Saccharomyces cerevisiae S288C: one gene and its partners. The gene in region 1 interacts genetically with each later gene. Each region holds a gene or a part of one and is shown on either strand. Other genes may lie near its edges.

Region 1 (7,880 bases):
ACAAGCAGATACTGGAATGGGCAGGTAAACTGGAATTGGAGAGTATGGAGCTGAGGGAAAACTCTGACAAGCTAATTAAAGTTTTAAATGAAAATTCTAAGACATTATGTAAATCGCTAAACAAGTTTAACCAGCTACTGGAACAAGATGCTGCTACGAACGGTTCGTACCAACACAGTGCATACCCTCAAGTTTTTTATTCATTTTCTTCCAAAACACATTTACTAACAACTGTAGTATAGGAAACGTGAAAACCTTAATAAAGGATTTGGCTTCCCAGATTGAAAACCAACTGGACAAAGTGTCAACAGCAATGTTATCGAAAGGCGACGAGAAGAAGACAAAGTCGGATTCCAGCTACAGGCAGGTATTAGTCGAAGAAATAAGCAGGTATAATTCCAAGATAACGCGACACGTAACTAACAAGCAGCATGAGACGGAAAAGTCGATGAGGTGCACCCAGGAGATGCTCTTCAACGTCGGCAGCCAACTGGAGGACGTGCATAAAGTGCTCCTGTCTCTATCCAAAGACATGCACAGTCTACAAACCCGCCAGACTGCTCTAGAGATGGCGTTTCGAGAAAAGGCAGATCACGCCTACGATCGCCCGGATGTGTCTCTGAATGGCACCACACTCCTGCACGATATGGACGAAGCCCACGATAAGCAGCGTAAGAAGTCCGTGCCGCCACCAAGAATGATGGTCACAAGGTCCATGAAACGCAGAAGATCCAGCTCCCCAACCCTATCCACCAGCCAAAACCACAATAGCGAAGACAATGATGACGCTAGCCATCGGCTGAAGCGTGCGGCCAGGACCATTATTCCCTGGGAGGAACTAAGACCCGACACTCTGGAATCTGAGCTGTGAAACGGGCGTCCTGCTTTTTCATTCTACACAGGCATATGTAACAGCAGTGTATAGGCTATGTAAATCGGCCCAATCAACAAACAAGCGTTGCTTATTGGACTTGCTACTACCCCAACAAAGGAGAGAGCCTTTGATTGCATCCTCGGAAGAGACGGCATAAACACCGAGCCTCATCCTACAATGAAAAACCACGCCAGTTGGATATAAACCAGAAAAGGGTTTCAATTCAGTATCCACCATGAGCAAGACAAGATAAGACAAGATTGCATAAAAATGAGTGCTTCCAAAATGGCCATGTCCAACCTAGAGAAAATATTGGAACTGGTTCCTCTTTCGCCTACCAGTTTTGTCACAAAGTATCTGCCTGCCGCGCCCGTAGGGTCTAAGGGCACTTTTGGTGGAACGCTGGTATCACAATCGCTGCTGGCGTCATTGCATACTGTGCCATTGAACTTCTTCCCCACATCGCTACATTCGTATTTCATCAAGGGTGGTGATCCGCGGACCAAGATCACGTACCATGTGCAGAATCTGAGAAACGGTAGAAATTTCATCCATAAGCAGGTTAGTGCTTATCAGCACGACAAGTTGATATTTACGTCGATGATCTTATTTGCCGTGCAACGGTCCAAGGAGCACGACTCCTTGCAGCACTGGGAGACGATTCCAGGCCTGCAAGGTAAGCAGCCAGACCCTCATCGTTATGAAGAGGCCACTTCGCTTTTCCAGAAAGAAGTTCTGGACCCACAGAAATTGAGCAGGTATGCCTCATTGTCCGACAGGTTCCAAGACGCAACCTCGATGAGCAAGTATGTGGATGCGTTTCAATACGGAGTCATGGAGTACCAATTCCCCAAGGACATGTTCTACTCGGCAAGACACACCGACGAGCTGGATTATTTCGTCAAAGTGAGACCTCCCATCACTACCGTGGAGCACGCGGGCGACGAGTCTTCTTTACACAAGCATCATCCGTACAGGATCCCGAAGAGCATTACTCCTGAGAACGACGCTCGCTACAACTACGTGGCCTTTGCGTATCTGTCCGATTCCTACCTCCTACTCACGATCCCGTACTTCCACAACCTGCCTTTGTACTGCCACAGTTTCAGTGTCTCGCTCGACCACACGATTTACTTTCACCAGTTGCCTCATGTGAACAATTGGATCTATCTTAAGATTTCGAATCCCAGGTCCCACTGGGACAAGCACCTCGTACAGGGCAAGTATTTCGACACACAGTCGGGACGCATCATGGCAAGCGTCTCTCAGGAGGGCTACGTTGTCTACGGGTCAGAACGAGACATTCGAGCCAAGTTCTGAGGACAATTCCCTCCCACGTATAAACACATACATATATATTCTTATATTATATAATAATATCCTATTTATTATTACATCACCTTTCACGAGCGGGTATCATACCTTTTTCCCTTCGATCTAAGTAGAAAAAGGACCTGAATGATCATTGTGGTACTTATTCCCACGCATAACCGACTACGGCACCACAACGACGCACCAATGCCATCTGACGTAGCATCGAGGACCGGGCTGCCAACCCCGTGGACCGTCAGGTATAGTAAGTCCAAGAAAAGAGAGTATTTTTTCAATCCAGAGACGAAGCACTCGCAATGGGAGGAGCCTGAGGGCACCAACAAGGACCAGCTACACAAGCACTTAAGAGACCATCCAGTGCGTGTAAGATGCCTGCACATTCTCATCAAGCACAAGGATTCAAGAAGACCCGCATCGCATAGATCCGAGAACATTACGATATCCAAGCAAGACGCTACGGACGAACTGAAAACCTTAATCACGAGGTTGGATGACGACTCTAAGACGAACTCCTTCGAGGCCCTGGCTAAAGAGAGATCAGATTGCTCTTCATACAAGCGAGGCGGCGACCTCGGCTGGTTCGGGAGAGGCGAGATGCAGCCTAGCTTTGAAGACGCTGCCTTCCAGCTCAAGGTCGGCGAGGTAAGCGATATCGTTGAATCAGGAAGCGGTGTTCATGTGATCAAGCGGGTAGGTTAGGTTGGCATTTGCTTCTCCACCTCACCTTTTTATGTTCTTATTCCCTCTTGTATCCATTCCGTCCTCGCTGAACCCATGAAAAGAAAAAAAATTAACTAGTCACATAGTTAAATGGCGCTGTTCTTCGCTGCGAGCGGAACCGGGCCTGAAAAAAAATTTTCTCTTTTCCTCTCCAGATGACTCAGTAATATAGTAGTATATTATATAATGTAACAAAAGAAGAGACTGAAGTTTTATTATGCATTGTAGCGCCTGTAATCTTTAGTAACGGATTCTTGTATTTTTTTGTAAACAGCCAAGAAAAAAGTAGAGATGGGCTTGTTAACGAAAGTTGCTACATCTAGACAATTCTCTACAACGAGATGCGTTGCAAAGAAGCTCAACAAGTACTCGTATATCATCACTGAACCTAAGGGCCAAGGTGCGTCCCAGGCCATGCTTTATGCCACCGGTTTCAAGAAGGAAGATTTCAAGAAGCCTCAAGTCGGGGTTGGTTCCTGTTGGTGGTCCGGTAACCCATGTAACATGCATCTATTGGACTTGAATAACAGATGTTCTCAATCCATTGAAAAAGCGGGTTTGAAAGCTATGCAGTTCAACACCATCGGTGTTTCAGACGGTATCTCTATGGGTACTAAAGGTATGAGATACTCGTTACAAAGTAGAGAAATCATTGCAGACTCCTTTGAAACCATCATGATGGCACAACACTACGATGCTAACATCGCCATCCCATCATGTGACAAAAACATGCCCGGTGTCATGATGGCCATGGGTAGACATAACAGACCTTCCATCATGGTATATGGTGGTACTATCTTGCCCGGTCATCCAACATGTGGTTCTTCGAAGATCTCTAAAAACATCGATATCGTCTCTGCGTTCCAATCCTACGGTGAATATATTTCCAAGCAATTCACTGAAGAAGAAAGAGAAGATGTTGTGGAACATGCATGCCCAGGTCCTGGTTCTTGTGGTGGTATGTATACTGCCAACACAATGGCTTCTGCCGCTGAAGTGCTAGGTTTGACCATTCCAAACTCCTCTTCCTTCCCAGCCGTTTCCAAGGAGAAGTTAGCTGAGTGTGACAACATTGGTGAATACATCAAGAAGACAATGGAATTGGGTATTTTACCTCGTGATATCCTCACAAAAGAGGCTTTTGAAAACGCCATTACTTATGTCGTTGCAACCGGTGGGTCCACTAATGCTGTTTTGCATTTGGTGGCTGTTGCTCACTCTGCGGGTGTCAAGTTGTCACCAGATGATTTCCAAAGAATCAGTGATACTACACCATTGATCGGTGACTTCAAACCTTCTGGTAAATACGTCATGGCCGATTTGATTAACGTTGGTGGTACCCAATCTGTGATTAAGTATCTATATGAAAACAACATGTTGCACGGTAACACAATGACTGTTACCGGTGACACTTTGGCAGAACGTGCAAAGAAAGCACCAAGCCTACCTGAAGGACAAGAGATTATTAAGCCACTCTCCCACCCAATCAAGGCCAACGGTCACTTGCAAATTCTGTACGGTTCATTGGCACCAGGTGGAGCTGTGGGTAAAATTACCGGTAAGGAAGGTACTTACTTCAAGGGTAGAGCACGTGTGTTCGAAGAGGAAGGTGCCTTTATTGAAGCCTTGGAAAGAGGTGAAATCAAGAAGGGTGAAAAAACCGTTGTTGTTATCAGATATGAAGGTCCAAGAGGTGCACCAGGTATGCCTGAAATGCTAAAGCCTTCCTCTGCTCTGATGGGTTACGGTTTGGGTAAAGATGTTGCATTGTTGACTGATGGTAGATTCTCTGGTGGTTCTCACGGGTTCTTAATCGGCCACATTGTTCCCGAAGCCGCTGAAGGTGGTCCTATCGGGTTGGTCAGAGACGGCGATGAGATTATCATTGATGCTGATAATAACAAGATTGACCTATTAGTCTCTGATAAGGAAATGGCTCAACGTAAACAAAGTTGGGTTGCACCTCCACCTCGTTACACAAGAGGTACTCTATCCAAGTATGCTAAGTTGGTTTCCAACGCTTCCAACGGTTGTGTTTTAGATGCTTGATGCATTATAGGCCCCAATCGATGAATATATATATAGAGATTCTCCTTTTCCATCATCTTTTTTGTTCGCAATCTTTTCATATATATATATATATAAATATTTATTATAGTCCATTGAATGGATAAACATTTATTTAAAAAAAAACAACGATCAGTATTTTTTTATTTGAAAAGTCGCCTTAATTATAATCTACGAAATTAACTCTGCTTTGCTGCCACTAAAGCCTTCTGTTTTAGTTTTCTACTAGCATACTTGCCAACAAATGGTAACAGTGCCGTATTCAAGGCAATGAGTGCGACTAAAATACCATAATTCCGACCCATCTTGCGTCTTGTCACGTCAAAAAAAATAACCCTGTAGATATCGATGACGTTGTGAACGGGCATCATGTACCCATATCTATAAACATTATTGTTTAGCGCTAATGGGAAGAAAGAAGGTGCAATATTGAGAATGACAAATGATAGGATCCAGAACCCGAGATACTGGGGTCCTAACGTAATAACAAGCATAACCGCATTTTCGTTAGCTCCTCCCGCAGCAAGCATGAAGAGCCACGTAGACATCCAATATACGACGAAGCCACCTCTACCAAAGGACTTGGTAAAATCGACTTGAAAGATGGCGGTTGTTGTGCAGAAGAACAAAGACGCAAAGAAAAAGGTGAACCATGACATAGCGATACGGTAAATTAAACCGTTGGCTGGTCTTAGCACTTTTGCCATTTCTACGTGTAATGGGCCGTACAATAGAAATTGGAAAAAAGTTAGCAGTAAACAGTAAACAACACCGATTTGTGTGGGTGCCAGTAGAATACGGTCTGTGAATGGTCTGTGGTCATAGTATTCGTAGTTATATTTACCTGCTGCAGCGATATACCTTGCATTGTTAGTTAGTGCATAACGATATACCTGGGTTATGTTTGTCAATAACGGCGGCAGATAATTTAGTGTGTAGAATGTATGGTAGTACTCTTCAATGGTCTGAGCAACCGGTAAAATCGTTGATTTTAGGTTTGTCGGGTCTCTACCAGTTTCATATACCACCTGATTAAACAGCGTAGAATTGAATAGTGGTGCGGTATCGTTGATTAGTGATTCAAATAGAGTCTCCGTGGCGTTTGGCTTGATATTAATGGCAAACCAGTATTTTTCGTCGTAAACCAAATCGACAACCTTGTCATTGACTTGCTGTGGCGTATTTACGTCGAACTTGGCCTGGAAGGTAGGACTGTTATAAATATCCCAATCACATGGTATTTTATTGATAAAAGTAGGCAAAGCATACGATATGGAGGGCACTACCATGGAACTGTTATTATCCAAAATTACCACAGGGGGTTCCTGGATAACAACCAGAAGCTTAACTTTGTGTAGATACTTGCTGGTGTCGTAAAGAGCCCCCCAGAACAACACAAACATTGTAAAGCAAATTATGGCCAGTAAGCAATTTGTGAAAACAAACTTTAAAAGAACTTTCTTCCTTTGACCCTGTAGATTAGGAGAAAAAAATGAGCCACTCGAAGGAGGAAACGCTTTCTTATCCTCGGAATTTGGCTCAGGGTCCTTCGAAGAATCCGTTGTTTGACCATCCATGTCTGGCACACCTTGTGAGACAGCATCACCGACCACGCTGGAAAGGTCATGTATATCGTTGCGTCTGCAATATTCCTCGTCCGCTTCCATATTATTATATGCTGTTGGTTCTATATCATCTAGAGATGAAGTCATAACTATACTTACTTACGGCTGGATTGAGTTGTGTTTTGTACGCCTATGGTCAACAACAAATTTTGCAGTTTTTCGGTTGCAAATAATTTGAATAGGCAATGGGGACTATATTTATTGTCCTACTACGAAGGTTTCAGAGAAGGAACGGCGCAGGCGCACGAGGGCCGGCTGCACAGTATATATGAGCGACGATCTCAAGAACGATATAGGGTTTGACTATCTAACCTACACGCCTGGTTACCAAGTAAAAAGTCCTTTTCTCCCAGAACGGTGCTATTACATATTTATGGATTGCTTACTTGGCAGCTCCTTCTGCAGCAGGCTTTTTCTTCTTCTTAGCATCGATGGTTTCCACTTTGACGTCCTTTAGGCCTTTTTCTTCCAGCAAGGAATGTATGTAAGTTTCCACTTCATCCATCACGTCACCTTGAATGACAACTTCTTCTTTTTTCTCTGCATTTTTCGAGACTGAGCACCCTGTGGCGAACCTAGACGCAAATGTCTTGGCTAGCTTTTTCATGTCGATGTCGAAAACTTCCAGCCCAGAGATAGCGACGATAAACTTTCTCTTGGTCCTAGCTTCTCTTTTAATGATCACTTTCGATGACAGCTTCTTAGCTAATTCTCTTTGTTCCCTGTTTTCCTGTTTTTTTTGAATTTTCAGCAAGTCCTTTTCCAACTTTTCCTCTCTAGCTTCGCCAATACTGGATTCAGCCAGTTTGTTGGTCACGGCTTCCACCTCTTGCGTATTATCGTCAGTACCGTATAGCTTTGCATAAAGGTCTGCGTGGTTTTCAGATAACCAAACTTTACAACGCTTTAATTTTCCTGAAAACTCGCAGTACTCTGGTGGGTAGGAGCAAATTCCACAATAGATGACTTCTCTTAACATTTTATGCAATATGCTTTTCTTTAGTTTAGCTCTTGAACTGTTTCCTTGGGGTGATTTTATCCAGTAGGAATTAATAATTTTTTCACTCACACATCACATCAAGTATCTTTTTCCTTTTTTTTTTCAGCTTTTTTCTCTTTTGGTGGTGCGCTTTTGCATTTTTTTTTTCATATTTACACATTCATTATATGAGTAGATTTATAGAATTGATGTACATGGTGCAAGTTCACGTCAGTCAGTTGTTCTTTTTGTTGGAAACTGTGGGTTGCGTCGGTATCTTAAT
Region 2 (8,699 bases), on another chromosome or scaffold:
AATGCAGAAAAGACATTATATGCACTACTGTATAGATTTAAGTGTGACACTCAAAAAGAGCTTATTAAGCAACAGCAAGTTAAGAAGAGGCAGTCAATTAGTAGCGTTTCTGTTTCCCCATCTAAAAAAGTATCGACAACTCCACAACGCAGAAGAAATAGAGAATCTTTAATTAGTGTAACATCTTCTCGTAAAAAGCCAATATCCTTCAACAAATTCACTGCCTCCAGTGCCTCCTCCAGCAATCTAACTACACCCGGTTCTTCAAAACGCCTTTCAAAAAACTTCTCTTCAAAGAAGAAATTATCTACAATCGTTAACCAATCTTCTCCAACACCAGCATCACGTAATAAAAGAGCTTCGGTTATAAATGTGGAAAAGAATCAAAAAAGAGCCTCTATCTTTTCTACTACCAAGAAGAACAAAAGATCTTCTAGATCTATCAAGAGAATGTCATTGATACCAAGCATGAAACGTGAATCGGTGACAACAAAATTAATGTCAACATATGCGAAATTGGCAGAGGATGACGATTGGGAATACATTGAGAAGGAAACAAAGAGAACGAGCTCAAATTTTGCAACTTTGATAGATGAAATTTTTGAGTACGAAAAGTACGAACAAATAAGGAAAGAGAAGGAAGAGCTAGAACGTAAAGTGAGAGAAGCAAAAGCACGTGAAGAGCTGGAACGTAGAAGACGTAAACAAGAAGAAAAAGAACGTGCAAGAAAATTACTAGAAAAGGAAGATCTGAAAAGAAAACAGGAGGAACTCAAGAAGCAAATTGAAATTGATATAAGTGATCTAGAGCAAGAGCTGTCCAAACACAAAGAGGAAAAACTGGATGGTAATATTAGATCTATCTCTGCTCCTATGGAAAATGAAGAGAAAAATATCAATCATTTGGAGGTTGATATTGACAATATTCTCCGTCGCCGCAACTTTTCTTTACAAACTAGACCTGTGTCAAGGCTTGATCCGGGTATAATGTTCTCCAGTCCAACTGAGGAAGTAAGTCCAGTGGAACCAAAGAGAACAGAAAATGAAAGACTTACAACAGAAAAGAAAATTTTAGAAACTATCAGAAGATCAAAATTCTTGGGTTCATCATTTAATATCGATAAAGAGTTGAAATTGTCTAAAATGGAATATCCAAGTATAATTGCACCACAAAGATTGTCAGAGGAGCGAGTGGTGTCAGATTCTAATGATGGATATGAATCTTTGATCCTCCCGAAGGATGGGAATGGCGTATCTCAATTAAAGGATAGTACCGCAACAACTGCTCCCGTCTCTGATGGTAGGTTGAGGAAGATCTCTGAAATTAGAGTACCACAATTTACTAGAAAATCAAGGCATTTTAGTGAGTCCAATAAAAGGCTATCTGTCCTGTCGATGTACTCTACCAAGGAGTCGTTTACCAACTTGGTTGATATTTTGAAAAACGGTAACCTTGATGTCAATAACCAACAAAGCCAAAGAATTCCAACACCAAGAAGTGCGGATGATTCAGAATTTCTTTTTGAAACTGTCAACGAAGAAGCTGAATATACAGGAAATAGTTCGAACGATGAGAGATTGTACGATGTCGGTGATTCCACTATCAAAGACAAATCCGCGTTAAAGCTGAACTTTGCAGATCGTTTTAATGGATCGAACGAAGCGAAACAAACTGATAACTTACATCTTCCGATCCTTCCTCCGCTTAATGGTGACAATGAATTGCGTAAACAGAATAGCCAAGAGGGTGACCAGGCACATCCAAAGATTAAATCGATGATACCAGAATCAGGCTCTTCTTCACATACTGAAAAGGAAGAAGAAAATGAGGAAAAGGAAGAGAAAAAGCCAGAACAACACAAACAAGAAGAGGATCAAGAAAAAAGAGAGAAAGTAGTAGATGATATGGAGCCACCATTGAACAAATCTGTGCAAAAAATTAGGGAAAAAAATGCTGGCTCGCAGGCAAAGGATCATTCAAAAGATCACTTAAAAGAGCATAAGCAGGATAAAAATACAGCAATTGGAAATGGTTCCTTCTTTAGAAAATTCTCAAAATCTTCGGACAAAACAATGGAATTGTATGCCAAGATTTCTGCAAAACAATTGTTTAATGGTTTAGAGAAGCTGTTGCGTGGTTGGACTCAGTATGGTTTAAAAAATATAAAATCGCACCCCAACAATCTGACCTTAACGGGTAAACTATCGAGTGATAATATATTCTCACTACGTTCAACACTCTTTGAGGTTAATATTTATCCGAGAGGTAAGATGAGCGTTGTGCAGTTCAAGAAAGTTTCTGGTTCATTCAAAGCTGTCAAAAAGTTGGTCAATGAAGTTGAGAACGTCCTGAATAAGGAAGGCGTTCTACAAAAATAGTGCTAATGTAATGCAATCATGTTTTGTCTCCTTCGTTTTGTTCTGCCATAATATTTCGCTCATATTATTTTTGCTTATTTTTTCCCCTCCGTATTAATACTTTAAATAACAATCTAATGGAGGTACTGGACTCTATGTACTATTATATTTACCCTTAAAATATCGTGTTGATTACTATTTGTATAACCGTTTGTTTTTCTAACTATATATGAAAGAAAAGTAGTTATAGTTATAGTAGTTGAAGATTTAAAAGCTATTTGCCCTCTTTGGGATTAAAGTAAGAGCTAAACATAAATTATGTAACAGTTTAATTTTCCGAACATTAATTGTTGTTAAAGGCTTTAATATCAAGTATACTGAATATGCTAGAAGTTCCACTCAAGCATATAAGAATATCTGCCTAAATTATTATTTATCACTACAACTTGGCTACAAATTATGAACAATGAGGCCGACAAGAAGTTACTCTCTTAAAAAATGGGATATGATATATACAAACATATGATACAAAAATTTCAACAAATAAGTGGTTGTTTGGCCGAGCGGTCTAAGGCGCCTGATTCAAGAAAAAATCTTGACCGCAGTGAACTGTGGGAATACTCAGGTATCGTAAGATGCAAGAGTTCGAATCTCTTAGCAACCAATATTTTTTAGTTTACATTTTTTTCGGGGATAGTCATAGAGGATCCACCTTCATCTCAGCTGTCCACATTAAGGCCAAAGCTAATAAAGTGGCACATACTGGGCGGTTAAACAAAGTTATTAAGTAATTATTGCAAAACTCCGTGGACAACTTGTTTAGAATGAAGGTCATTCTCCTTAAGCCGGTTCAGTTGCCAATGCTACTCTTAATACTATTAAAATTTATTATGGCCGCTAAGGAAGGCAAAATACATGTCTTAGAATTCAATGCGAGCAGTGAATACACGCTTGATAAGAGAAGAGTTATCTCCATAAATGGCTACAGCGCTACATTTGGCCCAGAAATTCGAGTTAAATCCGGTGACACTCTTAACTTGAAATTGACTAACTGGATATGTTCAGAAGAAGAAGCTAGTAAAGACAGTGATGTTTGGAAGGATTACTGTTCAACAGCTTTACATTTTCATGGGGTGGTACCTTTAGCAAATGAATTTGATGGAATTCCAGGTTTAACACAGCCCACTATTGGATATGGAGAAAGTTATTGGTATAATTTTACCATTGATCAATCAACCTGTGGTACTTTTTGGTACCATTCGCATTCATCAGTACAATACGGTGACGGTATGAGAGGTGTTCTGATAGTTGAATGCGATGATTATGATAATCATGTGGCAAATACTATTAATTCTGTGAGAGACATAGAGACACTAGATGACGGTGTTGTTACAATGAAAAAAGATAAACACACGAAGGAATTGACGGATTATGAAGTTCAAGAAAGGATTATCACTTTGAGTGATTGGTATACCAATTGGAATTTGGACATTTTAAACGACAAGGTTTTGTCATCTACCGGGGGTACAGATCCCAAATTTGATGGATCATTAATAAATGGAAAATCATCTGACGGTGAAACTATCAAAATAGGATTTAACACCGAGTATCTTCTTTTGAGAATCGTAAACTCAGGAATGTCTGGTACTCAAGTCTTTCACCTTGATGGATTCCAATTAATTGTTCTAGAAGCCGACGGGATTATGATTAAACCGTTCATTGTACAAACGATAAATTTAGCGGTCGGACAAAGATATACAATTTTGGTCAAACTAAAGTCTGACACTAGTTTTATTCGTATGATTAATGGCTGTAACAAAATGATGGGTTATATAACAAAACAGTGGTGGTTTTACAAAGAAGGCGCTCATTTGGACCTACCAAAGAACCCCAATGACGTTTCCATCGAACACTTGCCTGGTTTCACTAAGGCCGAGCTTTATCGCGACATAGAACCAACGCAAGAAGAGAATAAAAAGTTACGCACAAAGGCTGATCCTGTTGCAGTTTTCGAATTCGATTATGCTTATTACAAAGATGAAAGCACGAAACAAAAGTATGGGACTGGGATGTATAAGGTGAACGAACGGACATTCAGCGAGTACGTAAAAGACCCGGTAAGGTTCGGATTCAACGAAACATATGATATTGTAATCAACTCACTGGACCACATGAGACACCCATGGCATATGCATGGCCATCACTTCCAGATAATATCTCTTGGCAATAAAGGTGATGGCCCATTTCACAAAGACGTACAAGAGGGCAAGGCATGGAGCCGCTATCAGAACGATTTACGTCACCTGGCCCGAACCGGAAAGGCACCGATGGTAAGGGATAGCATTAACATTGCAGGAAATTCTTACGCGGTTTTGAGAATTAACACCGAGATGCCCGGAAAATGGCTTTTACATTGTCATGTGGAGTGGCACATGATGAAGGGGCTTGGCATTGTCTTTGAGGTTCCGACAACAACCGAGGACAGTACCAAACAAGCAACTACAGCTGTATTATCGTACCCTACCAAGGAACCTGACCCTAACACTGTTGTCCATACAGCCGCACTTGAACAAAATAAGTCCAAGGTAATAGCCGTCTACATCCTAATCATGTGTGCGGTTGATGCTATCTTCTACTGGTTGCTCATGTAATCACATCCATTTCTCCCAACTCATTGCTTTTTTTCGCTTTTCCCACAGCCGTTTACAAGGCCGCAAAAAAGAAAACCCGCAAAGCTGACGGAAAAAGTATCGGCTAGCTTTCCATTGGCGACAATCGCCTCCGAGTGCGAAAACCTGTATTTCTCTGACTGCCGTAGGTCATATAGGATTGGGTCATAACGGTTTTTTGGAGACGAATCCTTCCCCTAATCGTGTTGGATAACATTACGGATCCGTGTTTTAGCTAAAGGAACAAAACAAAAATAAATAAAGGATAAGAAGAAGGATTCACTGATAATTAAGAGCTGTATTTTTCATTGGTTCGGCAGTTAGAAACAGAGATAGCATCAGTTCGAGTGTTCTTTGATATAGTAAACAGCGTATATAGAAAAGAATAAAGTGTATTGAAAGGCTCAAGAGAATTATAGAGAAAAAAACGAAGGATAAATCAAAAAAAGCGGTGTCTGATACAGTGCTCAATAGAAATACAGTTGCAAAATGGACCTCCCAACTGTTAATAGCACAACAAGCATTTCCGACAATGTGGATTTAAAGAACTACTATGAGGACTTGCTTTTCAAGAATAACAGCGGAAAATCGCTATCCGATTTACCCCGTAAACTGAATGATAACTCCAATAATTCAGGAAGTGATACGGTTGATCCGCTTGCTGGCCTGAATAATTTGAGAAACTCAATAAAAAGTGCGGGAAATGGTATGGAAAACAGGAGGACTTTTGACGATATTGATTTTATGGGTAGGTTTCCGTATTTGCCACCAGTGCCAAATCAACAACAGCAACCGTTTTCTCACCAGAACGGGTTCATTCAAGAACACCCTTCCAGTAATTTGACCTCTTTTCAAATGTCTTCGTCTAATTCAGAGCCGATGTCCGCACCGCCCATTTCATCCAATAACAATAATTTAAACTCTACTCAAATGGGTAATTATCAAGCTCAACAACGGTCGTTCCCGCAATTTAATGGAAATTCATTTCATTCAAATGGAAACGACCTAATGGGGAATCGGATGGATTCAGACTACATGCGTTTAATGAATAAAACAAACATAGGTTTTACTTCCAATAGCGGCAGCAATTTTGCTGCCCCATCACACAGTGCTGGCAACCCATCTAGTATGAACAACCAACAAGTACCATCATTTAATTGGCAACAGCCATCTCATCCAGAGTCTACCATTAGGAGATCCTCCTACATATCAGATACTCTAATCAACCATCAAATGCCTGACGCTCGGCAAAAGCAAACATCCCAAGTGCAGCAGCAACACGCTCAAGGTTTCAATCTTTTCAATAGCAGATTCAACTATGACAACTTGAACTCAACCCATTTGACCGCCAAAGGTGTGCCCGAGTTTGGAAATGGTGTACAACCTCCGTATCCTTATGATAACGAGCCTAATAATGCCAGTATCAGCAATAGTAATAACAACAACAACAGTCACAATATGGTTCCAATGCAACAGTTTCGCCGGAATACACAACCGGTAGCGAGCTTCAATCCATCCCTTCCTACTTTTCAACAACAACAGCAACAACCACAACAACCACAACAACCAAGAAACGTTAATGTACCTACTTCTTTCAATGGCGAACGTGTTGATGATGTTCAGCTTGTTCAACTTCAAAGAAGCAGTTCTGTCCCTTCTTCTACAAACTCACATAACCTTCAGAACGAGAACAGCAATGAAGGAAATGTATCTTTGGACAATGGTTTAGTTTTAATTCAGGGTAAACACTTGACTTCGTCCAAAACCTTACACGATTTATACAGCGACTGTGGCAGCGGCTATTTTGCTAGCTCTGCAGTTTTTGAATTCACAGATAATATTAAGAAAATGCTGAAGTTGCACGATTCTAATGAAAGTTACGACGCGAAGAACATGGGCTTAATCGATGAAGAAGGTAATACATACCAATCTTTATTAAATTTCTTGGACATTTTAAGAAGTTGCAACATGAATTACGTTAATGATCCAGAGTCGAATAATGGAATTGTTTCCAATAATGGAGGCAATAAAAATAGGAGGAAGGGCTCTTTCACAACAGAACTATCATGCAGGAATGCTAATAACTCCTTTTTACCTTATACACCATTGGTACTGGTTGCTTTGAAAAATGGGAAACTTGAACTACTATCTACTCCACAAGCTACCAATTTGTTGTTAAAGAGAGGTGACTTGGTTATTATTGATGGTGACCGTGGAAGGGATTTAGTATTGGTTGTTGAGCCCTCTGTCGATTTGAATTTAGCATTATTTATAAATTTTCTGAAAAAGAAAATTCACTTTGACTCTTTAATTACAAGTGAGTCACAGCACTATCGCAATGATGAGTTTATTCAAATGTTGATTGACTCAAAAAATGGGCAAAAGAAAAAATTAAATCCCAAATTGTATGATGTTGTTGAATTAACTGAGTTAATCATACCATCTAAACAAGTCTTACGTTTTGCCACCCCGTGGGAGGTAACAACGAATTTGCACAATAAATTTGAAGATGAATTAAAAGCCTTGCATATTGCTCAGAGTAAATTACAAGCGTTAAATGATAATTCAAAATCTCAAAATACAAATGACAGTTCTTCCAATAATTTTACGAATGCTGCAACTTATTCAAAGCCTAAATTGAATATCAAGATTTTAAACGCAGAATTCCAATTTGATAGAAAGAAATTAACGTTTTACTACGTTTGTGAGGAGAGAAATGATTTTAGAGACTTGATAAAAGAGCTGTTCAAATATTACAAGACAAGAATTTGGTTGTGTGCCATCCCGAATAATCTGTCTATTGATTCTAAGTATTATGATAAACAACAAAAAGAGCTGAAATTATATCAAAACATAGTAAAAAATTACAATGCTGAAGATTTAATGAATGTCAATGAGTTTTCGCAGAACAGGGGGAATAACAGAGTTAATTTTGCACCTCCGTTGAACGAAATTGAACTCGACAACTTTCAGATTGCTGTGTATGAAGAATTAGTTCACGAATTATTTCATTAAATGATCTGTTATTTCCTTGTTGTAACTATAAATTTTCTAAAAGAAAAGACAACCATTTGCCATTATTTTGTTAACATTTTTTCATTGTTTTTGTTTTTGTTTGTTTTTGTTTTTGTTTTTATTTTTGTCTACTTTTTTTATGTTATTTTGTTTTATCGTTTCTGTTCGTTGTTTACCTATTTTCCTGCCAATTCAATTTGGTACTATCTTTCTATTATCAATATTTTCTTTCCCTTATGTTTTTTTCTATATGAAAACTTCACAGGGAGAAATAGAAGAAAATGTTCATTATTCTGTTTAACTTTGATAAAAATTACTTATACGTCTCCCAATCATGGTTTCATGGTCACTGGTAAGGAAAAATTCGAAAAACTACGGGACTAAAAATTTTTTAAAGATTGTCCATATTCCTCGATCCACACTTTCAAGTTTGAGATTTATTGTTGGCAACTTTCTTACATTTTTGTTGTTTCAACTTCTATTTTATATTCTAACAGCCGCTTCCATTTATTTTTCATAGGCTTTATATAAAAAACAAAAAATAATGGAATCAACCAACCCTTATAAACTTATATGTAGTTTACATTTAATCAAGGTCTGTTATCGTGGCTATTGCTCTAATTCATTATTTGTCGACATGTATTGGTTGATAATTTT
Region 3 (8,612 bases), on another chromosome or scaffold:
AGGACAGTAGAGATGAACAAAGCGGCATGCTTAACGACAACATAGTCACCTTCGTCTTCGTAAGGGATTTCCAACTCTTGTAAGAACAAATGAGCTGGTTTTCTCATAACCATGGCACTAAATAATTGACCACCCAACCAACTACCACCACCTGGTGCAACTGAACTTTCGATAATACAAACCTTCAAGTCTGGTCTGTTCTTGGCGATGACGTAAGCGGCGGATAAACCTGAAGAGCCCGCACCGACAATAATCACGTCAGAAACGGCAAACTTGTCAAGATCCTTGAAATAACGAGAAGTCATAGCACGAGAGACAGTGGATTCGCGGATGGGAGCAAATTTAAAGTCAGACCAATCTTCTTTCTTAACGATGTCAGATAAGCAGTGAGTAACTGGAGTAGAGTTTAAGTGCAATTGAGAGGCACTTGTGGAAGTAGCAGTAGAGGTAGCAGACATTTTGATAGTTAGTTGATTTTTTTGGTTGTGATTTATTATTTCTAGATGATAAGAAAGAGAACATAAAAGATATTTCCCGACTACTTAATACACAATTTATTCCAATATTTATATATCTGGGTAGTTCATAAATTGAAAATCAAAAAATCAATTTCATGATCCATTTCTATTAGTGCTCGTAAAAAAATTTACGATTGAACTTGGTAACTGATAGAATACCAGATTCTTTACTATCAATTATGTATGTTTTTTAACGTGCATAATTATTAAAAGACCATTTGATTTTAAAAATGACGTTAGGAGATCGGACATTTTATGAAAACTTCAGAAAAAGGGCTTAAAGTAGAGTATCGTTTTGGACGTCTACAGGAAAATGGGGTGGTAAATGTTCTTGGCGTAAAAAAAAACTATTCACTAAAGCAATTGAGTGCCGATCCCTGTTGAGGAATGCTCATAAAGAGAAAGTATCAGAATTATTCCCCGCCGTAAATTTGTAAAAAAAGGGTAAAAAACGGTTAATCCTGAAGGGGCTTGGAAAGCTCGCCAGCTTCTTGTAATTCTTGACGCCACATATAGCAATCACTAACGAAGAAGTTGACTTTTTAGGGGGTTGATAAGCATTTTTCCCACCCATTTGCATCAGTTAATGTCAATTCAGTCATGATTTGCAAGATATTAGGAGAAAAAGTATGAAAATTAAAAAAGTAATCTTGAGCGGTACGAGAATCGAACCCGTGTCCCCACCTTGGAAGGGTGGGATGATAACCACTACACTAACCGCCCGGGGTTAACTTGAAAGCTCTAAAAGCTCGTTTTCCATATATAGGCATGTTACAATTCCTTTCCATTCTTTCCATTTTATCCATTATCTGATGCATTTCCCTGATAGAATAAGAACAAACTACCATCCATCGATTAGTATTCATGTCACTAGTATATTAATTATCATTTATGATGTAAAAAGAGGACATAAAAGTTATAGAACAGTCATTAGGTTTAATAAAAGCTTAAATAAGAGGATCGATGAAATAGTAGGATAGTGAAACATATAAAATGGAAAAGAAATAATAATACTATTAGGTAGATATATTGATTCCCTTTGGATTCCTGTATCTTGCAGAAGAACTTTCAACATTTTTTCTATACGCAATATCGTAGCCTGTAACAATAATTGTTGGGATTCCATTATTGATAAAGCAATAATGTTAGGTATGTAGGATATACTAGAATTTCTACTCGAGGGTATAGGAATCCTCAAAATAGAATCGAAATTTCTACATAATAATTGAAGAGAGTGTGGGTTCTGATGTAATTGTTGGGATTCCATTGTGATTAAGGCTATAATATTAGGTATGTAGATATACTAGAAGTTCTCCTCAAGGATTTAGGAATCCATAAAAGGGAATCTGTAATTCTACACAATTCTATAAATATTATTATCATCGTTTTATATGTTAATATTCATTGATCCTATTACATCAATGCTTGCATTTCAGCTTCCTCTAACTTCGATGGCAACTTTTCATACCTTATGTCACCATCTAACGCCTTATATGACAATATACTGACATTAGGAATACTAGTTGATATAAGATAGTGGATTTTTATTCCAACAAATTTTCAGCTCCTTTTTTTCCTAGGTTATAAATAAAAACAGTTAATGAGAAATGAAAATTCTTGTCTTTACTCAAGCAGGAATTACGAAGCCTATCAGTCGCATAATTAATATTGCATATAATGTCTATATCCAACAGTGTTCTTGTAGGGTATAGGAATCCACAAAAAGGAATCAATAAGTTTTACCCTCTACACGTTGTCACCCCTTTCCTTTATCACACTATCAACCCTTGTGTTTGAGCTTCTAATAAATTCGTTCCGGTTGGATCTTATTTTGCTGATTTCATAATTTACCAGCTTCCTAATGGGGTGTTTAGTAGTATTTCTAGCAAAATGAATAATAATATTAACCTCTTTCACGAGTTAAAAAGTTGTTGAATTTCGCGGCAGTAAGAGGGTACCAAAAATACTGGACTAGCAATTGGTTTATTATGAAGTACTTATCCCTGTCTGTACCATATGATATTATTTAGAGAAAGCGCAAGCTTAATACCACCTTGACCTTAAGCAAACTACGTAAGCACTAACTCAAAATAGGTAAACTTCATTGGTCGCAAAAACTGTAGGTCGAATAATATATATGTGTTAGTGTTTATATTTATTTGTAAGCCCTTAAAGAACCCCTGTTTATAAAACGGAGTCAGATGGGAAAGAAGCTATAAAAAGTAATTTCATCGCTGTTTTTCATCTCTACGTCTTAATTTCATTTTCAAATTTGAAGCTTCAACCTTGCTGCGAAAAATCAATAACGGAACAAAAGGTAAAAAAGTAAACAGGACGGTATACTCTTAGCAGTAAACATACATCAAAAACACCGCTTGTAACCACACTATCCTTCCAATTTTGAAATAGCGCAAGTTAACCATTAACGAATAATAATATGATTTAACATAAAATATTGATTAATATAAAAGATTAAAACATATAGAAGATATTTATGTTCTGACAACACGAAAGCTTCTGAGGGCTCCTGTCTTGGTGTTTCTCTGGTAAATAGTGTAACATAACTGTTACAAAAAAAAACTTCAAAAACTCTCCACCTTGTCGACAAATTGCTATCAGATACCAACAGAAATTTTTCGCTAACTTGAATCCGTACTCTAATTTAAAAACTCCAGTGATGATATTATTACAAAGGAAGACCATTTACATGGCTGCTTCCGTACCCAAATCTAGAACTTTCAACGACTGTGACCGCAGACTATTTTGCCTCCTTAGAATTAAAGCGCACTTAGATAGTAGGTTTTAACCAGTTGAAAAAAAAAAATCAACCTCAGGATAATGAGAATTTTGAACTACTACAACCTCCTGTTAGAATATTTTTTGGGAAAGTATATCCAGCCTGTTCCCAATCAGTTAAATTGGCGTTATAATATGCATTTAGATGGCTTTGGATATAATCATATGTCGGGTAGTCCTCAGGATCACAAGTAATGGACGTAGAACCCTTCGGCTGGTATAATCGGACGTAATCTATTGACATTGTCACCGGGAAAAATATATATTGCCAGTCGATATAGGCCCAGTTGTTGGAAATACCTAAGTTTAAAATCGCTGACATTGGCTCCTTACTTATTCTCCTCCAGTCAATATTACCACTAGGATGTAAAGAAGTAGCATATAGTGTGAAAGTAGGGTTCTCTCCCACAAACCAACGAATATATCCGTTGTCGTCATCATTGAGATATTCAATGGCATACTTTTGAAAATAACCTGCTTCCTCCCCAAATTCATACCATGTTACATTTAAAGTGGATATTGCTGAGACAGCTTGTTGAAAAGGCCCACCAGCGTAAGTATTCATAGTTGTTGTGGTGAAATTATAAACTTCGATGAAGTCATAATCGGGCATGTACCATATATCAAATGGAGCAATTTGTAGAGATTGTGACGCAACACCAACACCCAAAATTGTATCAGCTTCACCTTCTAAAATATCTATTTCCGGTGCGCCTCTTCCAACTCCCTGATTTGGATGATCCTCATTATCACAAGTACAAACACTCAACTTTTGTCCCGGCAAGTAAGAAATACCATCTGGGGAACTTTGGTTTGGTGTTATACCAGCGTCACATGCTTCATATGAATAAGGCCAAACACCTTGAGTACTCGCCAAATAACCTGGTCTGCCCAAGTTCCCCATGGTCCACATACCAGGCCATAATCCTGTAACTCGACCATAATTAGGGAGGTTCGCGGAAACTTCTAACGCACCTTCTGTAAAGCAGAGTTTGTTCCAGCTCTGTACCATACCAGATCTGTAATAAAGGTCATGGTTTCTGAATGCATCCATTCTCAACGTCAAGGTACCATTTGTAGTTGTAACGGCATCTGGTGAGTACCATTCAAGATCTTTCGTAGCGTCGTAGTGGATGTCAGGAGCTGTCCAAAACTGGTCATCGCCATCGTAAAAGGTCCTACCTTCAGCATTAAATTCATCGGAAAACACCAGCTGCCATTTAGATCCATCTTTCGCTACTCTTGTCTTCGCACTGTCAGGTGTGTCTGGATCAACTAAAGTTGTCCTTATAGCCGCAAGTTGAGGATATTGATATTCAGTCAATGACTTGGATGTAGTATTAGAAGACGACGATCCTGCTGAATTTGCCGCATGAACATGTTCATGATGATAAACTACCCCGGAAAATGTAATTGCAGGTAATACAATGAAAATAAATATACCAGCCATAAATAAAAATAGAATACCCAGAAGCCCCAAGAAAGATCTTCTATCCATGTGTTTGAAGTCGTCAACGAACCTCCTTCTATCTAACTTTGCTTCTTCCTCGACATTTGGATTATGAATGTAGTCATCGTCTTCCTTTTCGTCCAACGTTAACGGAAAGAAGGAAGCTGGATAACCGCCAAAGGGCGAAAAATCCTGTTCGCCCATGTATAAGTTGGTGGATGATAATGAAGAGTCGTGAGCAGAAGAAGATGAGCCAGTCATATTCGCTCTTTTCTTTTCATTTATAAGGTTCTGCGACTGAGATTGAGCCGCTGAAATATGCCTCGTTCCTACTAGCGGATATCTGTCAAAAGGTGGTGGAGACTTAATTAAGCTGTTGTTAGAAAAGCTACTCATATTATTTGAAGAAGGATGAGACGGTAAGTTTCTGTCCGGCGGCTGTAAATGTGATGCAAAACTATTATCGTTACTACTGCTTATAATGTTCTTATAATTATTGTTATTATGATTGTTTAAGTTATTAGCAGAAGTTAGGTTAGTCTTAGCATAATAGCCCTTATAGTCTGACATTCTTTGACCATTTCTCTCGGGTGAGTTCTTTTCATTAGCCAGAAGAGAAGTATCGCTGTTAGGATCGTTATTATAATTTATGGATGAAGAACTGGAATATTCATTTGCCCCACGCCGCTCATCGTCTCCACTGGGTGAATTATAATCTTCGTCAAATTCTTCACTTCCAAGGAAAGGATTACCGCTCACCCTAACGTTCTGACCATCTGCAGGTTCTAATGATGAGCTTTGTCTTGATTGCTCATTCGAGGAATAAAAGGAGTTTTCGCTTCCGGAAACACTATTTTCGCTGTTGGAATGACGATTATTGGTGAGGTTTCGCACAGACATATTCTGCTATTGTTTATGTAACACTAGCTAGTAATGGTTATAATATACTGTGTGCAATAGGCTTAGATCTGCTGTGTTTTTCTTATTATTTACCGTTTCTTTATTTCCTATTCCTTGCGTAACCGCTAACGATTGTAATAATTTTATCAAACCTGTAAAAGTTTCTACCAGCTGCGTAGAATCAAATGGAATATGGGTTGTTTTTTCGAGCGACTGAAAATACGAAGAGGCACTTTGTAGTCGGAGTAAATCGATAGTTGTAGTAGAATATACTGGTTTAATATTCTTCTTCTCTTTCTCTTTTAGCTTTTTTTTAGCAATGCGAATTTTTTCTCCTTAGAAGGTAGGTCTCCCTATTTTGGTCAGTTTTAAACGGTTCGCAGAGCGATATCGTTTGAATGCAGCAATGTAGTAGGCAAAAAAAAAGGGACAAGAATATACAGTGCCGAAACGTCTATGTACAGTGATGGCAGTTGGAGGAAGGCCTATGTGAAAGAAAACTATATGCTGTTATGCTCGGGAATATATAGTAATCTGCGCAGAGATACATGTTCGGCACAGGCTCACCTGGGCCTACTAATTACGCATCGATGTTGACCAATTTTCCGCTTTGGGCACGCATTCATTTGTTTTCCTTTTTAAAACAACTCAGATCGTATTTGTCTCAGCACCCACACCTTGCACCAGGGTCCGTTTACCCATTTGAGGAATATGTTTCTAAAAAAAAAGAGCCGTAATATTCCAGTATACCTCATTAAAAGTAAAAAAATTTGGACGAGTCCGGAATCGAACCGGAGACCTCTCCCATGCTAAGGGAGCGCGCTACCGACTACGCCACACGCCCAATTAATTGATGAAAGGGGAGAATAGAGAAGAATAATGAAGTAAATCTAATGAAATATCAAAAAGCCATTCTCAACGTAACATTTACTCAATTATCTTCAGGGCAGGAAGGGGAGAAGAAAAAAAAAGCTCTTTTACTTGATTACTGTTTCCGTTAATTTGAACTTAATTTTTCTAAAGATGGAATTGAGATATTGGTGAATTTTGAGATAATTGTTGGGATTCCATTGTTAATAACAGTAGTAATATTAGGTATATAGAATATACTAGAAGTTCTCCTCGAGGGTATAGGAATCCTCAAAATAGAATCGATAAACGATAGTTGAATTCTATTCAAGCAGAAATGAATTTCAATCATTCGATAAAGTAGCTTGTATTTTGTGAATCACTTGCCATTCCACCATAAAATACTAGCATAAATGTTAACATGGAAAACCGGATTTCTAGGAAGCAAATAATTGTACTAAAATCACGGATACTAATAATTTCTACTTTACTGTTGCCCTTTTATTTTGTTATATTGTAACAAAATAAATCCGCCTTCTGCCGTGCCGATTTATATTCCTTTCATAAAGTCAGTGAATTATAGTAGTATATAAGATGCATATAATTAGTTATTTAATGCCGTAAAAATGAAAGATGGGGAGTATGTATTATCACCCATTATATCTCCTCAATAATAGAGTTTCCCTTGGGAGATCTGCTTAGGGACTCGTTGTATCTGTCAACTTCCTCATCCTCAACGTCTTCTAATAGGGGTGAAGCGTGTTTTTTTAGTGTATTACCAGACACAGAGAAATCCAAAGTCGTATCAGAATCACTGTTTATACTTTCATTATCACTTTCTGCTGAACCAGAATTGCTATTATTATTTTTATTGCTGGCCTCAATCTCAGAGATAGGCAATGATTTGGAATTTTGCAATTTTTTTTGCTGGGACCTCTTGGTTTTTTGCTTATTTATCAAAGATTCTTTCCTTGCCTTCAATCTGGCTTCCTTCTCTTTCTTTTGCCTTTCTTCATCTTCCTTGGCAGCTTTTTCCTGTTCTGATTTTCTGCTTTCCTCCTGCATCAATCTTTCTTCCTCTATCCATTTTTTTATTTGGTCTTCTTTGGTTAGTGGTTCTTTCGCTTTCTCCGCTTCTTCCTCCTTCAAAGATTCAGACATGTTAACATCATCGTGAGACTCGTCTATTTTGGATTCAATTATTGGCATCTTTGGTTCGTTGATGCCACCTTCGGAAATTTCTTCCTCATGCTTAACTAAACCAATCTTTAAAAGTGCATATTTTTCTCTCGAGCCATCATCTATGTTTTCAACTCCACAGCCAATAACAAAAACATCTTCAAACACTTGGTCTAGAGAGAATTCCTTAAAGATTTTATCCTTCTTACTCAATATGCTCAATTCATCACCTCTATGATTCAATTCTATTTCGTAGTCTTGGAAAAGATCCTTAGCAATTTTCTTTCCTATGGCTCTAAAATCCAGATCTTTCAATGCAGATCTCAATAGAGCATCTTCATCCGCTTCATCTTCAACATAATACTGGTTTCCAAAAAAATCTTGGACAACATGGTAAGTTGGTCTGTAATGGTTCTCCTTTAGCTCACCTAATTTCTCATTAACGTACTTTGAAAAAAGTTCATATGGAATCCGCTTAGACAAGCTTAATGTATAACCATTTGGTGTTTCAGCAAGTGCATACCTCAAAGGTTCTGAACAATTTGCATCGCTTTTTTTTGGAGCTCTTAGGTTAGCTTTTATTGCTTTCCTCCTTTTACATTCTGGATAATAGCTCACTGGAGAACTGCAATCAAAATAACGCGAATGTAGGGGCTGACTAAAAGATGGCAGCTGTTCAAAAACACATGGTGAATTGAATATGGAAAACATTTCTATATTGTAATGGGGTCTATTAGTTATTTTCTTTTGGTTGTTGTTATGATTGTAATACTGATATTTCTTTCAAGAAGAAGAAAATATATATAGAGCAATGAGAATACCTGTCAATGAGAAAAGATTGTTCTAATGCTTTTATATATGTAATGCAATAGATCTTCCATTTGTTTTGCCACTTTACTTCGCCAAGAACTGAAGGCTTC
Region 4 (7,300 bases), on another chromosome or scaffold:
CGTTGCCTTCTTCTTCTTCTTCTTCTTCTTCTTCTTCATCATCATCGTCGTCATCATCATCATCGTCATCATCCTCTTCTTCCTCTTCTTCCTCTTCATTATCATCATCGTCATCATCATTTCCGCCTTTTTGTTGATGTTCTTCTTCTTCTTCTTCTTCTGTGTTTATTACTTCCCCGTTTTCCTCTCCTTTTTCCTCCTTATCTTCCTCCTCTTCATCGTTCACATCTTCCAGTTCGTGTTGTTCTTCATTTTCCTCCTCCCTTTCGGCTTCTCTTTCTTCCTCTGGGGCGTCAAATTCGATTCCATCGTCTGCGCTTGAGTTATTCATCAATTCATTCTCGTTAGAGTTACTATCGACGGATAGTTCAGGTGAAGGAATATCTTGAACATCACTGTTATGGTTTTCATCTGACATGGCTTGCAGATGGTTATTATATTATGAAAGGACAGTCCGGGAAAAACGTAAGTCAATTATTATATTTTGACCAAAGAAAATCGCTTGTTGCTGTGCAGAATCTAATAAAGATGCTCAAGATAGCTTTTATTAGACCTTCATTTAGAAGTGGCAAAATCAAATGAATTGTTTTTTGTCCTTTGCTTCTTCCGCTTCATTTTCTCTTCAACAATTCAGGGTTACACTCAATCACGTGGGATACCATAATTTATCGTTCTACAAAAAAATGCAAGCACGAACTAGGGCGGTAGTTAGGAAGCGAATAAGAATAGCGCTTTTTCGTTTCAATTTGGAATATTAAAGAGTGATATTATTAATGGTTTTCTTTTTTGGAATGTGATCTATATACATATTTAAATAGTCTCTTTTGTATTTGTGGTGTCATAATGAAACTGCATCACACCAGATGCTTACCCATACAGAAAGTCGATTGATTATGAAACTTGAAGTAGCGAAGATTACGGCACTCGAAAATAAATAAAAAGAGGAAATAAAAGAGATAGAATACAACTTATCAAAAGTTCCAGATAGCCCGTACCTGTTTAAATCTTTTTACTTAAAGCATCCTTCCTCTTTAACTCCTGCTCATGAGCAAGCTGAAGCTTGTGTTGCTGTACAGCTGGTGAATCAGAATCCACTGAATGTGCTGGACATGGCAGCACAGAACCGATGGCCACTGATGCGAATGCAATGAGAAATGTAGAAAAGTATAGGTTATTGACTATTTTGTTTCTAGTGACTGCTCTCATGATATGTGTCTGAATTAAACTAATTGGCCTTCCGTGCCTGTAAATTCAATAAATAAATAGGATGTTAAATTTTCCTAATGTGTCTCGAGGTGCTTATGTTATCGTGCAAGCGCTGAGTTCGAAACGCTGTTTTGATGAATATCCTATATATATCAAAAGTACAAACACGGGGAAAGAGAGCCATCCCATCAAAAAAAATAAAAAAAGAAAACCCTTGCAGAAGGAGAACTGGTGTAGAGGTTTCCGGTCTTAATGGACTTAAGCACGTGACTTTTAAAACCCATGCATCGGTTACTATGGTTACCATTACTTACGATTTTTTTTTTTTCGTTATGAACCCTGTGCCCGAGGGGTTTTCAGGCACATAGATCAAAGTTCTACTCGTTTACCTGTAATCTTGGCGCGTTTAGGTCTCTTTTTTTTTCTTTTTTTTTTCTTCTTTTTTCATTTGTACTGCGTTATAGTTGTTTATGGAAGGTACCAATGGTGAATATGGAAAAAATGAAGTCAAATAGAAGAAGAAAGAGAAGCTAGCTTTGAGGTAGGTACTGTTTTGAGGGTTTTTGGGTGCTTCAAATTTGTCTTCTCAACTACCTTATTATAGGGCTCAAAAATAATTGACGTCATCGCTACAAGTCAGATGTCGATGTTAAGAATCTGGAGTTGCATCGTACATTTCTTTTCCGTGCAGGCACTTGATTCACGAATAAAGCCAGACATTGAATTCAAAAGGCGACAAAGGATATTTATCAATTCATCTAAAGAAGAGAATGGTTCATCTTCTAGTGCCGTTACTGTTACCCGTAACCCTGTGCTCAGCTCTAATAGCCCATCTCCTCCGCTATGGAATACATGGGAATTTAGACTATATTATTTGGCGTTCACCGTAGTAGTTCCTTTCATGATAAAGGCGGCATTGGCTACGAGCTCCGAGTCTAATCCAAACTACTATAAATTCAGCGGACTGCTAGCCCATGGTTGGATTCTGGGCCGCAAAGTGGATAACAGCGATCCTCAGTATAGGTTTTTTAGATCCAATTTTTTTTTGTTGGCCATCTTAATATTACTACAAATTATATTAAAAAAGGTTTTTGTTAAATTTAGTAAAATTCCGAAAACAAAATTCGATTTTGCGTGTGGATTAGTTTTTGTCTGTTTCATGTACGGGATCAATTCTGTTAAGCTCTTTACGCATGCTTTTATTTTCTTCACTTTGGCACATTCGCTAAAGAGAAAGCGTTTGATAGCCGCTTTTGCGATTTGGTCCTATGGTATCTTTACACTATTCATCAATCAAAAAATGAAAAATCTCCCCTTTAATAATATTGCTATCATCCTAAGTCCCATGGATCAATGGTATAAGGGTATCGTTCCTCGATGGGATTTTTTTTTCAATTTTACATTATTGCGTTTGTTAAGTTACTCCATGGATTTTTTGGAAAGATGGCATGAACAATTGAGCCGCCAACCTTCGATAGATTACGATGATAGACGACCTGAATTCAGAAAAAGTTTATCTGGTTCTACTCTACAAACCATTTATGAGTCAGGTAAGAATGTTCTGGAGGAAAAGGAACGACTGGTAGCAGAACATCACATCCAGGATTACAACTTTATCAATTTTATCGCTTATATTACTTACGCGCCATTGTTTTTAGTGGGCCCAATTATCACTTTTAATGACTACCTTTATCAATCAGAAAATAAGCTTCCTTCGCTAACGAAAAAAAACATAGGCTTCTATGCCCTCAAAGTATTTTCGAGTTTGCTTTTGATGGAAATTATCCTACATTATATCTATGTGGGTGCAATAGCAAGGACCAAGGCATGGAACAATGATACACCCTTGCAACAGGCTATGATCGCGCTGTTCAACTTGAACATTATGTATTTAAAACTTTTGATCCCATGGAGGCTCTTTCGGCTGTGGGCCATGGTCGATGGTATTGATGCACCTGAAAATATGCTACGATGTGTGGATAATAATTATAGTACAGTGGGATTCTGGAGAGCCTGGCATACAAGTTTTAACAAGTGGGTAATCCGTTACATCTATGTTCCATTTGGCGGGTCCAATAACAAAATATTAACGAGCTTTGCCGTATTCTCATTTGTAGCAATATGGCATGACATCCAATTACGAGTGTTGTTTTGGGGGTGGTTAACAGTCCTTTTATTATTAGGCGAAACCTACATTACTAACTGTTTTAGTAGATATAGATTCAGAAGCTGGTACAGGTTTGTTTGCGGTATCGGTGCTGCAATAAATATTTGCATGATGATGATTATTAATGTCTATGGATTTTGCTTGGGTGCAGAGGGAACGAAGCTTCTATTGAAGGGCATATTTAACAATTCACATAGTCCGGAGTTTTTGACTGCGGTAATGGTAAGCCTATTTATTGCTGTTCAGGTAATGTTTGAGATTAGAGAAGAAGAAAAAAGACATGGCATCAACTTGAAATGTTGATCTAGTTATTAGATAAGCTATGAAAGTCAATCCTTTTAATCGAGAATGTAAATATGTGGAATACACAATTTTAACCAAAGTACTATATATGCGTTACAAGTAATTTAAATTTAAGTTCACCGAAGTAAAACTAACTGCAAGATTGTTACAAAGAACAATGCACTATTTAAATCACACAATGGCTATTGAAAACTGTAACTGTCAGAAATGCTGCATGTATCTATATGCATCACTAAGTTGCGACTTTTAAGAAACTTCCACAGTTCTCAACTCTTCTTTGTGCTTTTCACACATTTTCACAATTTTCCGAAATCTCCAAATTGAAAAAAAAATAAAAATAAAAAAAGGCAGGAGAAGACTAAGTATTCATTATTCGCTGTTTCATAAATAAAAGGATAAAAAGGTTAAGGATACTGATTAAAATGTTTGTCAGGGTTAAATTGAATAAACCAGTAAAATGGTATAGGTTCTATAGTACGTTGGATTCACATTCCCTAAAGTTACAGAGCGGCTCGAAGTTTGTAAAAATAAAGCCAGTAAATAACTTGAGGAGTAGTTCATCAGCAGATTTCGTGTCCCCACCAAATTCCAAATTACAATCTTTAATCTGGCAGAACCCTTTACAAAATGTTTATATAACTAAAAAACCATGGACTCCATCCACAAGAGAAGCGATGGTTGAATTCATAACTCATTTACATGAGTCATACCCCGAGGTGAACGTCATTGTTCAACCCGATGTGGCAGAAGAAATTTCCCAGGATTTCAAATCTCCTTTGGAGAATGATCCCAACCGACCTCATATACTTTATACTGGTCCTGAACAAGATATCGTAAACAGAACAGACTTATTGGTGACATTGGGAGGTGATGGGACTATTTTACACGGCGTATCAATGTTCGGAAATACGCAAGTTCCTCCGGTTTTAGCATTTGCTCTGGGCACTCTGGGCTTTCTATCACCGTTTGATTTTAAGGAGCATAAAAAGGTCTTTCAGGAAGTAATCAGCTCTAGAGCCAAATGTTTGCATAGAACACGGCTAGAATGTCATTTGAAAAAAAAGGATAGCAACTCATCTATTGTGACCCATGCTATGAATGACATATTCTTACATAGGGGTAATTCCCCTCATCTCACTAACCTGGACATTTTCATTGATGGGGAATTTTTGACAAGAACGACAGCAGATGGTGTTGCATTGGCCACTCCAACGGGTTCCACAGCATATTCATTATCAGCAGGTGGATCTATTGTTTCCCCATTAGTCCCTGCTATTTTAATGACACCAATTTGTCCTCGCTCTTTGTCATTCCGACCACTGATTTTGCCTCATTCATCCCACATTAGGATAAAGATAGGTTCCAAATTGAACCAAAAACCAGTCAACAGTGTGGTAAAACTTTCTGTTGATGGTATTCCTCAACAGGATTTAGATGTTGGTGATGAAATTTATGTTATAAATGAGGTCGGCACTATATACATAGATGGTACTCAGCTTCCGACGACAAGAAAAACTGAAAATGACTTTAATAATTCAAAAAAGCCTAAAAGGTCAGGGATTTATTGTGTCGCCAAGACCGAGAATGACTGGATTAGAGGAATCAATGAACTTTTAGGATTCAATTCTAGCTTTAGGCTGACCAAGAGACAGACTGATAATGATTAAACGCTCTGAATGCAAAGATTCAATGAGATTCTCTAAGAATTCTATTGATAAGATTTAAAGGTATTTGACAAGTAGAGATCTTTATTTTTTCTTGCATTTTGTCTAGAGAAATCTCAACTGACATACTCGACATGAAATTTTTGGTATTGTGTCTTTTATTCTATTGCTTTAAGAAAACTGTGACATATAGGGAAGACATGCTTAACAAGAAGATATAATTATATAATATATATATTATTAATAATAACATCCTTACTGCAGTCCTGTTGTGGGAGAAAATGGAGAGAGACTATGTTTCGTATCAATTCCTAAAATCAAAAAAAAAAAAAAAAAAAAGTTAAACAAGCACTCGCTGTTCATTTGTTTTACAAGTATTCATACTCTAATAGGTCATTGAGCTTCTTTTCTTGAGGAGAGATCCAATTTGAAGTCGGAATAAGATTTGCTTTCATTAGCGTAGGCAATAATTATGAGATAAATGGTGCAGCACTATTAAGTAGTGTGGATTTCAATAATTTCCGAATTAGGAATAAATGCGCTAAATAGACATCCCGTTCTCTTTGGTAATCTGCATAATTCTGATGCAATATCCAACAACTATTTGTGCAATTATTTAACAAAATCCAATTAACTTTCCTAATTAGTCCTTCAATAGAACATCTGTATTCCTTTTTTTTATGAACACCTTCCTAATTAGGCCATCAACGACAGTAAATTTTGCCGAATTTAATAGCTTCTACTGAAAAACAGTGGACCATGTGAAAAGATGCATCTCATTTATCAAACACATAATATTCAAGTGAGCCTTACTTCAATTGTATTGAAGTGCAAGAAAACCAAAAAGCAACAACAGGTTTTGGATAAGTACATATATAAGAGGGCCTTTTGTTCCCATCAAAAATGTTACTGTTCTTACGATTCATTTACGATTCAAGAATAGTTCAAACAAGAAGATTACAAACTATCAATTTCATACACAATATAAACGATTAAAAGAATGAGATTTCCTTCAATTTTTACTGCAGTTTTATTCGCAGCATCCTCCGCATTAGCTGCTCCAGTCAACACTACAACAGAAGATGAAACGGCACAAATTCCGGCTGAAGCTGTCATCGGTTACTTAGATTTAGAAGGGGATTTCGATGTTGCTGTTTTGCCATTTTCCAACAGCACAAATAACGGGTTATTGTTTATAAATACTACTATTGCCAGCATTGCTGCTAAAGAAGAAGGGGTATCTTTGGATAAAAGAGAGGCTGAAGCTTGGCATTGGTTGCAACTAAAACCTGGCCAACCAATGTACAAGAGAGAAGCCGAAGCTGAAGCTTGGCATTGGCTGCAACTAAAGCCTGGCCAACCAATGTACAAAAGAGAAGCCGACGCTGAAGCTTGGCATTGGCTGCAACTAAAGCCTGGCCAACCAATGTACAAAAGAGAAGCCGACGCTGAAGCTTGGCATTGGTTGCAGTTAAAACCCGGCCAACCAATGTACTAAGCCCGACTGATAACAACAGTGTAGATGTAACAAAGTCGACTTTGTTCCCACTGTACTTTTAGCTCGTACAAAATACAATATACTTTTCATTTCTCCGTAAACAACATGTTTTCCCATGTAATATCCTTTTCTATTTTTCGTTCCGTTACCAACTTTACACATACTTTATATAGCTATTCACTTCTATACACTAAAAAACTAAGACAATTTTAATTTTGCTGCCTGCCATATTTCAATTTGTTATAAATTCCTATAATTTATCCTATTAGTAGCTAAAAAAAGATGAATGTGAATCGAATCCTAAGAGAATTCAACAGCGTAAAATACAAAGAGGATAACGACAACGAAAAAAAATACACTCCCTGATTATGATGCCTCTGAGCTTGACATTTTCGTTGTCAACCAAGAAAACCATGAGCCAAAAAAGCGTCCTAACGCTCCCAGTAGCTTTTTCAAAACACT

The links.
Region 2: mutations in ILV3 (region 1) and PSP1 together harm fitness more than expected from each alone (negative genetic interaction), as found in Saccharomyces cerevisiae (one large-scale study listed by BioGRID).
Region 3: mutations in ILV3 (region 1) and SKN1 together harm fitness more than expected from each alone (negative genetic interaction), as found in Saccharomyces cerevisiae (one large-scale study listed by BioGRID).
Region 4: mutations in ILV3 (region 1) and POS5 together harm fitness more than expected from each alone (negative genetic interaction), as found in Saccharomyces cerevisiae (one large-scale study listed by BioGRID).

What each region holds. Positions count from the first base shown.
Region 1 is NC_001142.9:461,546-469,425, reverse strand, and holds ILV3 (dihydroxy-acid dehydratase ILV3), read left to right. Parts: upstream 1-3,217; coding exon 3,218-4,975; downstream 4,976-7,880. Other genes in the region: REC107 (Rec107p), read left to right, coding at 1-162, 243-871; TES1 (palmitoyl-CoA hydrolase), read left to right, coding at 1,145-2,194; peptidylprolyl isomerase ESS1, read left to right, coding at 2,393-2,905; YJR015W (uncharacterized protein), read right to left, coding at 5,173-6,705; TMA22 (Tma22p), read right to left, coding at 7,001-7,597; GPI14 (glycosylphosphatidylinositol-alpha 1,4 mannosyltransferase I), read right to left, coding at 7,833-7,880. UniProt on the Saccharomyces cerevisiae protein: Dihydroxyacid dehydratase that catalyzes the third step in the common pathway leading to biosynthesis of branched-chain amino acids.
Region 2 is NC_001136.10:1,456,038-1,464,736, reverse strand, and holds PSP1 (Psp1p), read left to right. Parts: upstream 1-5,516; coding exon 5,517-8,042; downstream 8,043-8,699. Other genes in the region: protein kinase GIN4, read left to right, coding at 1-2,379; GMC1 (putative oxidoreductase), read left to right, coding at 3,183-5,009; SPG3 (Spg3p), read left to right, coding at 8,043-8,426. UniProt on the Saccharomyces cerevisiae protein: DNA polymerase alpha mutation suppressor.
Region 3 is NC_001139.9:772,245-780,856, reverse strand, and holds SKN1 (beta-glucan synthesis-associated protein SKN1), read right to left. Parts: upstream 5,665-8,612; coding exon 3,349-5,664; downstream 1-3,348. Other genes in the region: THI4 (thiamine thiazole synthase), read right to left, coding at 1-458; BTN2 (Btn2p), read right to left, coding at 7,171-8,403. UniProt on the Saccharomyces cerevisiae protein: Required for synthesis of the major beta-glucans of the yeast cell wall.
Region 4 is NC_001148.4:187,308-194,607, forward strand, and holds POS5 (NADH kinase), read left to right. Parts: upstream 1-4,098; coding exon 4,099-5,343; downstream 5,344-7,300. Other genes in the region: NAB3 (Nab3p), read right to left, coding at 1-418; COA2 (Coa2p), read right to left, coding at 1,000-1,206; GUP2 (putative O-acyltransferase), read left to right, coding at 1,847-3,676; MF(ALPHA)1 (Mf(Alpha)1p), read left to right, coding at 6,341-6,838; UIP4 (Uip4p), read right to left, coding at 7,205-7,300. UniProt on the Saccharomyces cerevisiae protein: Phosphorylates both NADH and NAD(+), with a twofold preference for NADH. Anti-oxidant factor and key source of the cellular reductant NADPH.